Sus scrofa: one gene and its partner. The protein of the gene in region 2 interacts with the protein of the main gene of each other region in a biochemical or structural test. Links are inferred from orthologs where the notes say so. Each region holds a gene or a part of one and is shown on either strand. Other genes may lie near its edges.

What was found.
Region 1: of the proteins of RNF168 (region 2) and H2AFZ, one has a biochemical effect on the other in vitro, tested with the Homo sapiens proteins (3 studies listed by BioGRID, with this or other methods). The link is inferred for Sus scrofa from reciprocal best matches to the Homo sapiens genes RNF168 and H2AZ1.

Annotation. Positions count from the first base shown.
Region 1 is NC_010450.4:120,562,320-120,566,523, reverse strand, and holds H2AFZ (histone H2A.Z), read right to left. Parts: upstream 2,773-4,204; 5' UTR 2,588-2,772; coding exon 2,585-2,587; intron 2,142-2,584; coding exon 2,064-2,141; intron 1,782-2,063; coding exon 1,668-1,781; intron 1,330-1,667; coding exon 1,200-1,329; intron 923-1,199; coding exon 861-922; 3' UTR 501-860; downstream 1-500. UniProt on the Homo sapiens protein: Variant histone H2A which replaces conventional H2A in a subset of nucleosomes. Nucleosomes wrap and compact DNA into chromatin, limiting DNA accessibility to the cellular machineries which require DNA as a template.
Region 2 is NC_010455.5:133,624,312-133,628,345, reverse strand, and holds the start of RNF168 (E3 ubiquitin-protein ligase RNF168), read right to left. Parts: upstream 2,801-4,034; 5' UTR 2,548-2,800; exon of another isoform or gene 2,313-2,547; intron 2,226-2,312; 5' UTR 2,186-2,225; coding exon 1,885-2,185; intron 1-1,884. UniProt on the Homo sapiens protein: E3 ubiquitin-protein ligase required for accumulation of repair proteins to sites of DNA damage. Acts with UBE2N/UBC13 to amplify the RNF8-dependent histone ubiquitination.

The DNA.
Region 1 (4,204 bases), on a different chromosome or scaffold from region 2:
CTCCAACCTTGATTCTTTTCTGTAAAAACGGGATTAGATGGTGCATACTGAACAGTTTAATCCAGGTAGCCTTTGAAACAGTGGGAGAACACAGGAAACACTTCACTGTTTATACTGAAAGTACCTTCTGTGGAGGTAGCAATATACAGAACTTCCCTACCTGCCCCAGTCCATGACAGTGCTCTGGATGTAGTGCTGCTGTCACAAACAGCAAGTGCAGCGACAAATTGAGATGATCAAATTTAACCTAAAAAACATCACCTTGTCCAGTTCCAAGCTCCTACTGAAGTTTTAAAATCTTTAATAGTTCATCTCATAGCATTAAAAAATATATATATGCTTTAGCCTTCGAGGTTTGTTGATCTACAAAATTAACATTTTAATTTCAAGGTAAGAAACGTGCTTATTAAGTTATTGCTGGATAAGATAGTTATTCAAAACAAAAGTTGTTCCCATCATAATCAAGTGAATTTAATACACAACTAGTTTGGGATATGACCTTTATTGAGCTTATCCACCGAAGTGGAAATAATGTCTGTACAAAACCAAATGTTTGTTACTATAACTTCTGCATCACAATTAAAATCCAAACAGTTTTTTAAAAACAGTCAACTCAATCAAAACCCACTACTTCAGAATCAATAGCTTCTTTGAAGCCACAGTAACACTTAAATATGGTTAAGACTCGAATGCAGAAATTTGGTTGGTTGGAAAGCTAATTAAACTTCCAACTTGCTCAAATAGAATTACAAAAAGGCAAAATTGTGTTTTTCACAGAGATACAGTCCATTGGAATCACCAACACTGGACAGCTGTTAGAGTATTTAGAGTCCTGAGATAATAAGGAATCCAGGCATCCTTTAGACAGTCTTCTGTTGTCCTTTCTTCCCAATGAGAGATTTGTGGATGTGTGGAATGACACCTAGGGGAGGAAAGGGATACTTTTAAATATACATTATTTTGAAAATTAACACAGGACTTCAAAACCATGACAGTTTAACGTTCAACTTCGAAGAAGTCTTTAAATGTGAGGCCAGAGTATGCAGAAGTAAAAATTCACTAAGTTATATACAGGAATCAATTTTCATGATGCAACCATACTACAGATCACTGAAAATAACACTAAGTGTCCTCTTCTAGTGGGGGAAAAAAGTAAAGAATTATCTAAAGAAATTAAAAAATTTTTAGTATTTACATACCACCACCAGCGATTGTAGCCTTGATGAGAGAATCCAATTCTTCATCTCCACGAATAGCAAGTTGCAAGTGACGAGGAGTAATACGCTTTACCTTCAAGTCTTTTGATGCATTTCCTGCCAATTCAAGTACCTAGAAGACAGAATCTAATCAATCTCCTGCCAACTTTCCTTAGGATCAAGATCCAGAAGAATCAAACCTTCGTGAACGTGTATCTACCAACTGCCGTCTCCCCCCACTACCTGAATGGCAAGATATGCAAAAGCTATAAAGGGGACACGCAATTTTATTTCCTAAAGCAGTCAACTCAAGCTCAGGAGGAACCCAAAATGAACACCAGCCCCCTCTAGCGTTGTCAGAAGCTTCTCACCGCGTTCAGAGCCTGGGAGTTTTCTTGCATCACTTTCCTCCTTCCCTCTCACCGCCTCCCCCCACCACCTTTTCCAGATTACAGGCGTACACCCATTTACCTCTGCGGTGAGGTACTCCAGGATGGCTGCGCTGTACACAGCGGCAGTCGCGCCCACACGTCCATGGCTGGTCGTCCTAGATTTCAGGTGTCGATGAATACGGCCCACCGGAAACTTCATTTTTCGCATACACAAACACAAATGCACAAAGATAGAGGAGCCAAAAATGGTCAAATTATACGCGCGCCAAAGCAAGGGGCACGGAGGCTGATGCAGCAACGCGCCCTAGCATCGCCACACGTGATCGCCCCCCCTTCCCCAATATTTATTGTATCGGTAAACCAAGTCCCGACACCATCACCACGCAAAGACCAAAAGCTCATCTAGTGCAATGATAAACAGAGAAAAAGGAGAGAAAAACGCCGCGATTCCCAGACAGCAGAAACCCCCACTGACCTGCAAACCGGCTCTCTGCGAGCGGGAAACCGCCTTTGTCTTGGCCTTTCCGGAGTCCTTCCCAGCCTTACCGCCAGCCTGCGGCGCGCACACGCCCGCGAGCGAAGAAGGAACGCAGAATACAGGATTACCAAGGCGGCGCGCCCCTCCCCCACCGCGGGGCGGCCCGGGCGCGAGCGGGGCCCGGTGCCCAGCCGGGGTCTCCGGCCCGCCGCGCGCCGCAAGGGCGACCCCGCCCGCCTGCCCCCCGCTGCGCGCCCGCCGCGGCCGCGCGCTTCAGGCCGCCCGCTCACCGCCCTCCGGCTCCCAGCGGCGCTGCGCGCGCCACCCAACCGTCGCCGCCCGCCGCGAGATCGGAGGCTGCTCCGCTCGCCGCCGACAAAACACCTCCCCCCGCTCTTCCACATCCTCTCTCCGCGCGTTCCCAACCGTCACCGCTTCACCCCCATCTCCGTGTGTAACGGGTTTTTCTCCTGCCGGCAAAAACCCGCGTAGTCTTCGAGCGCCTCCGCGAAGTTTACCATTTCGAATTCTGCTGAAGCTCAAACAAGCAAGGCAGAGAAAGGACTAGTCAGTCACCAAGCGAGATCCCGCCGCCTACTCCTCCGTCGCACCGCGATTCAAACTGCGCTGTCTCCCGCCTTCCCCGCTCCCTTTATACTGCAGAATGTTCCCTCATCCGGGAACTCGGATTGCTCATCCCACCAATGGCTGCCACCCGCCCTCGGGCCGCGTCCTTGAAGTCTCAGCCAATGAGCAAGCGAAGAAAAGGGCGGAGGGGCGGGCGCTTTGCAGCTCGAGCTGTTATTGGGGCATGAGAAGGAGGTGGGGGAGAACGGAGGGATGGGAACCCGGGAGAAGAAGGGCACAGCGGCGGGAGGGAAGAAACAGAGCGAGCTACGCTGCTTGAGCAGGGCACCCGCCGGCTTAGTCACGTGCCTGGAGGGAGGAGCTGAGAGGCTCAGGGGAGGGGCACGCAGTAGCTGCCCCCTATTCCACCTTTGCCTCCTTGCTCGGTTCCAGAGACCTCGGAAAGCGGGGACTAGCACTCCCTCCTTCCTGCCCTGCCCTCCCTCCGCCTCCGCCCCGTTAGAACACCTGGCGGGCAGAGACCCGCCTGTCCGCAGCCTTCTTCCGGAGCACGGGGTACCTTCACCGACCCCCCTGCATTCCCGTTGACACCTCCGGTCTGACAGGTGGCGCGAAGGCGTCCAGTGAAAGGCGCCCCGACTCCTTCGCTAACCATAGTCTGGGTAGTGATTTCGCGTTTGTTCCTCCTAGGCAAGTGCCCAGCCACCGATTCATCACGACCCTCTGCTCCCACTTTTTCAGCTGTATCTCCTTCCTCTTCTTTTCTCAGGACTTTTTGAACCCCCTACCTCCCCAACCCCAACAGAACAGTTTCATGGAAAAGACGGTGAAGCAAAGTCACCTCGCTGGTCATAAAAGACCTTTTGGTCTACCCACTGAAGGCTTGGGCTGAGGCGGTATTCTTTAATCAAATCATATTTTTCTAAAGACTACACGTCTGTGGGTTGTACCTATAGCCTGGCTTCTAAAGTTGATTTAGTGAAACATGAAGGCTATTATGTGTCAACTCTTCTATGCTAAACATTTTGCTACTTGACAAATGTTCGGTAAATGTCCTCATATGATTCACAGGCAGTTACAGATGGTCCATGTAATCAAATGCAAATGATGGGCTTAAAAAAATAGTACTGTACACACAGTACTATCATAATGCCAGCTACTTAATTTTCCAACTAATAGATTAATAGCACCTCTGTACACGTCCAGCTGCTTGGAGACAGTAGTGATCCAAATCTTTCATACTTGGAGTTTTAACAGTAATTACGTTATAAACATAATTCAGTATTTCTGACATTAAGAAAATTTGAAATATATACTCTTTAGTACTGTAGTTTGGGTTTCAATCTGAAAGTTTTATCAAGTTTTTTTGGAAATTTGCTGTTAATTTTAAAATTAAAAAATTGGGAGTTCCTGTTGTGGCTTGGCGCTAAAGAACCCAGCTAGTATCCACGAGGACGCGAGTTCAATTCCCGGCCTCACTCAGTGAGTTAAGGATCCTTGGTTGCCCTGAGCTGTGGACTAGATGGCATGCGTGGCTGGGATCCTGCATG
Region 2 (4,034 bases):
CAGGCACAGCAAGAAGAAACTGGGACCCCACTGCCCTCATTACAGCCCACTCATAGGGCAAAAAAAGTTCTAGAAGAGTCAAGGAGACCAGAACTAGCATGCCTATGCACTGACCTGTTCCAACAAAGAGAAATAAGCTGTAGTCTCTGCTTCCAGCTAGAGAGCAGTGGCTCAGATGTTTTGCCCAGGGAAAAAAGGCAGGCAGTAAGAACTGAGAGCTCCAAAGATTTCCCTCAAAGACACTGACTTCACAATGAACAGAATATGGATTAGCCCAAGTCTAAAGGCACTCGTGAAAACAATGGCAATTTTAATGGTAAACACTAGCCAGGCAGTTCCTCACAAAGCTAAACATAGAATTACCATATGATCCAGCAATTCCACTCCTAGATATGTACACAAAAGAAATGAAAACACATTCAAACACTTGCACATGAATATTCATATCAGTACTATTGAAATAGCCAAAAGGTGGAAACTACCCAAATGTCCAACAATGGATGAAGGAACAAAATACAATATATCCATAGAGTAGAATATTATTCAGCCATAAAAAGGGATGGAGTACTGATAAAGATAGAACGCGGTAGACTTCCCGTTGCAGCTCAGTGGGTTAACAACTCGAGTAGTATCTATGAGGATTCAGGTTCGATCCTTGGCCTCACTCAGTGGGTTAAAGGAGCTGATGTTGCCACAAGCTGTGGAGTAGGTTGCAGATGCAGTTTGGATCCAGCATTGCTCCGGCTGTGGCTGTGGCACAGGCAGGCGGCTGCAGCTCTGATTCAACCCATAGCTTGGGAACTTCCATATACCACAGGTTTGGCCCTTTAAAAAAAAGAAAAGGAAAAGAAAAGAAAAGGAAAAGAGAAAGAAAGAAAGAAAGAAAGAAAGAAAGAAAGAAAGAAAAAGAAGGCGGCATGAAACATTATGCTAAGTGAAAGAAAACAGACACAACAGATCATTCGCTGTATGAATACACTTACATAAATTATCTAGAACAAGCAAATTCACAGAGATTAGAAACTCCGAAAAGCAGGAGTGGGATGGAGTAAGGAGAATGGGATGCTTAATGGTTAAAGAAGTTGTCTGGTGTGATGAAAGTTTTGGCAACAGTGGTGACAGTTTCCAAACACTGTGAAAGTAATTAATGACACTGAATTGTACACTTAAAAATGGTTAAAATGGCAAATTTTACCATAATAAAAAGAATTCCCAAAAAAAGCAAGTACACCAGAGCATCCACATCACATTTAAGCCTGGAGAAGAAACACTGCAGGGCTTAATGACCACATAAGTGGTCAAGCCGCTAAAGTCTGGGGGCAAAATGAAGAGTTGTTAAGTCCACACTGTGGAGGGCTTTGAATAAAAATGACTGAACTAGAGGAAACTGGCCACAGAAAGCTATTTTAGGCTTGTTGAAAGCTTAAGAACTAAATGAATGGAGATGTATAGGCAAGAAAGTTAGAGAAAAGTAACTGAAAATAAAAAAAATATTAACACAGGAATCCAGCAGTTTCCTTACTTCTGCTGCTGCCATACTGACTGTTGCTCATCTGTGACTATTTATATAACTTTCGACACAATTTAAGACCCTAGTAGGTAATTCTTTTGTTTCTTTTTTTTTTTTTTGGTTTTCTTTTCATTTTTAACCCAACAAACACCGACCAAACTAAGCCTATGCCTTAAAACAATGAACCAAATCTTGCCATTGTGACCTTAACCAACATTTTAGGGCCCATTAAACTCAAAGATGTGAAAAATTTGGACAAATACTAACCCAGATTTTCTTTTTTTATCCTTGAAAAAAAAAAAAAAGACTAGTGATGATTCGCTTTTTAAAAGATTTTGGTTTTTAGACAATGAACAAGCTGGATTTTTACTCACCAATTTCCTCTGATTCTTGCCCAGAGGCTCTAAGCTTGCATTCTTTTGGATAGTGTTTCTGAATTATCTTCCACAGTTCCATGTTGACAAGAGAATTTGTTCGGGTGCGGTGTCGAGTCCACGAAGAGACTCGGCGGCGACAGAAGGGGCAGCACAAATTTGCTTTTTCGACAGTCGACTGGAAGCATGGTTTACACAGCGTGTGGTTACAAGGGAGTGTCACAGGCTCAAATAGAATTTCCACACAGATCTGGCACTGGCATTCCGACAATGAAGGGATGGCGTCCTTGGGTACAGCCATTTTAATATGCTAAAAAGGCATATTCAATCAACATCAACACCTGAAAGAGAAAGAATCCTCATCTACAGCCCAAGTTCGGAGAAAGCGAATTAAGTTTTGTGTTTAAATTTTATGCCCAGTAGCCTACCAGAATTCAGAGACTGGGAACATCAAATGTCTTTAAAGCAAAAAAGTGTTCTGAGGGTCAGGTAAACAGTACGACCGTGGAAGGAAGTGTGTTTGTCCATGTTAAGACAAACGTCCGAAATGAAAACAAATGAACCTTGACTGCTCCCAGCATTAACAGCCGTTGCGGCAGGGCGGATGGTGGGCTCTCTGGCCCCCGCAGGAGGCACGCGCCAAGTTCCCCTCCTTTCTCTTACCAGGTGAGGATGCTCCCGTAGCTCCCGGAAGCCAAGCCGCAGACCGCAGAGGCGCGCAGCTACGCAGCCACCGCTAGAGGAAGAACGCTTCTTCCGCCCGGACGAGGAGCTCCGAAGGAGTAGGACTTCCGTTTTACCATTGTCGGGGGCCGCGCGCGAGCCCTTCCGGGCGCTCTGAGCCCGCCCCTCCCTCTCTTCCATCTACCCAAAAGCCTAACCTTGGCGCGGTGCTGTAGCAACCCGACAAGGGCTAGTGACGTCACGACTGCCCGCCAAAACAGCCCCTCCCACCTAGAGAACCAACCAAAGGTAGAGAGGGCTAACATTGGGGCGGGACTTCCGAGTCTGCGCGCGCTGCCCGACCCGAGCCCCGCGCCCCGCCCCCCCAGAGCTGGTCTTCTCGGTGTGTTGCAGTCCTTTCTTCGCAGACCCTGCGTCGTCACATTGACTGCACTTTAGTATTTCCCTCTTGATTTCTGCTCCCAGAGGCTGCAGAAATCAGGGTATGTCGCAAGGTTGGTCTCTTGTCAGAAAAAGTGAAACTTAAAGGCAAATTAAAAGCCGATGGAGTTCCCGCTGTGGCGCAGTGCTTTAAGGGTCCGGTTTGCCGCGGAGGCTAGTTTGATCCTTGGCCCTGTGCAGTGGGTTGGGGATCCCAGATTGCTGAAGCTGCTGCATAGTTCTTACCTGTGGCTTGGATTCGATCCGTGGTCCTGTCACTCTTCTGTGCAGTGGGTGCGCCCCCCCCAAAAAAGCTTGACAATAATTTTTAAATTCTTCCCTTAGTACTCCTCAAACTACCCTTGTTTCTTTTCATTTGTAAGGAAGCCTCTTAGGTCGCTTTCCAGAGTTCTTGTAAAAGCATCTCTAGGATGATTTCTGAGAAAGGCTGTGGTCAAAGAATCTGCAAACTTGCTACAATTTAACAGGTACTTGGGAAACAAACTGTAGGACTGGCAGGATCCTGGGGCTTAGCCAACATGTGCATCAATTATAAGGCACTGCTTTATTGTTTAATTTCAGTCTAGACCAATCAAAATTACAAAAGAAGTCAAAAGGAAAATATTTTAACTTTATGCATTTTGAAATGTTTTCCCACTTGGTTTTGTTAAGGCAGCTGCTCAACAGCCCTGCGCTGCAGCGTATCAGCTCTAGCGACAGCCCTGTGGCTGCAGTGTTTCAGCTCTTTTACCCAGGGAGAAACCAAGTGAGCACTGGGAAAGTTGGAGAATTCACGTTTATTATGCCGGCAGGCTCAGAGGAGATTGCTCTCCAGAGTCTGAGCCCGGAAGAAGTCTTTCACAAAGTTTTTATGGGCTACCTCTTCTGAGCTCCTGCTTGGCGGACCAGAGTGAGGTCAGGCAAGGTAGTAGATGCGGAAGCAAGCTTACTGCAGCAGATGCGTGAGGGAGGGGTGGTTAGGGGCAGGTGGCTGGACTTTGCTTAGTCATCATGACGGGGGGGGGGGGGGTGTCTCTCCTTTCTAC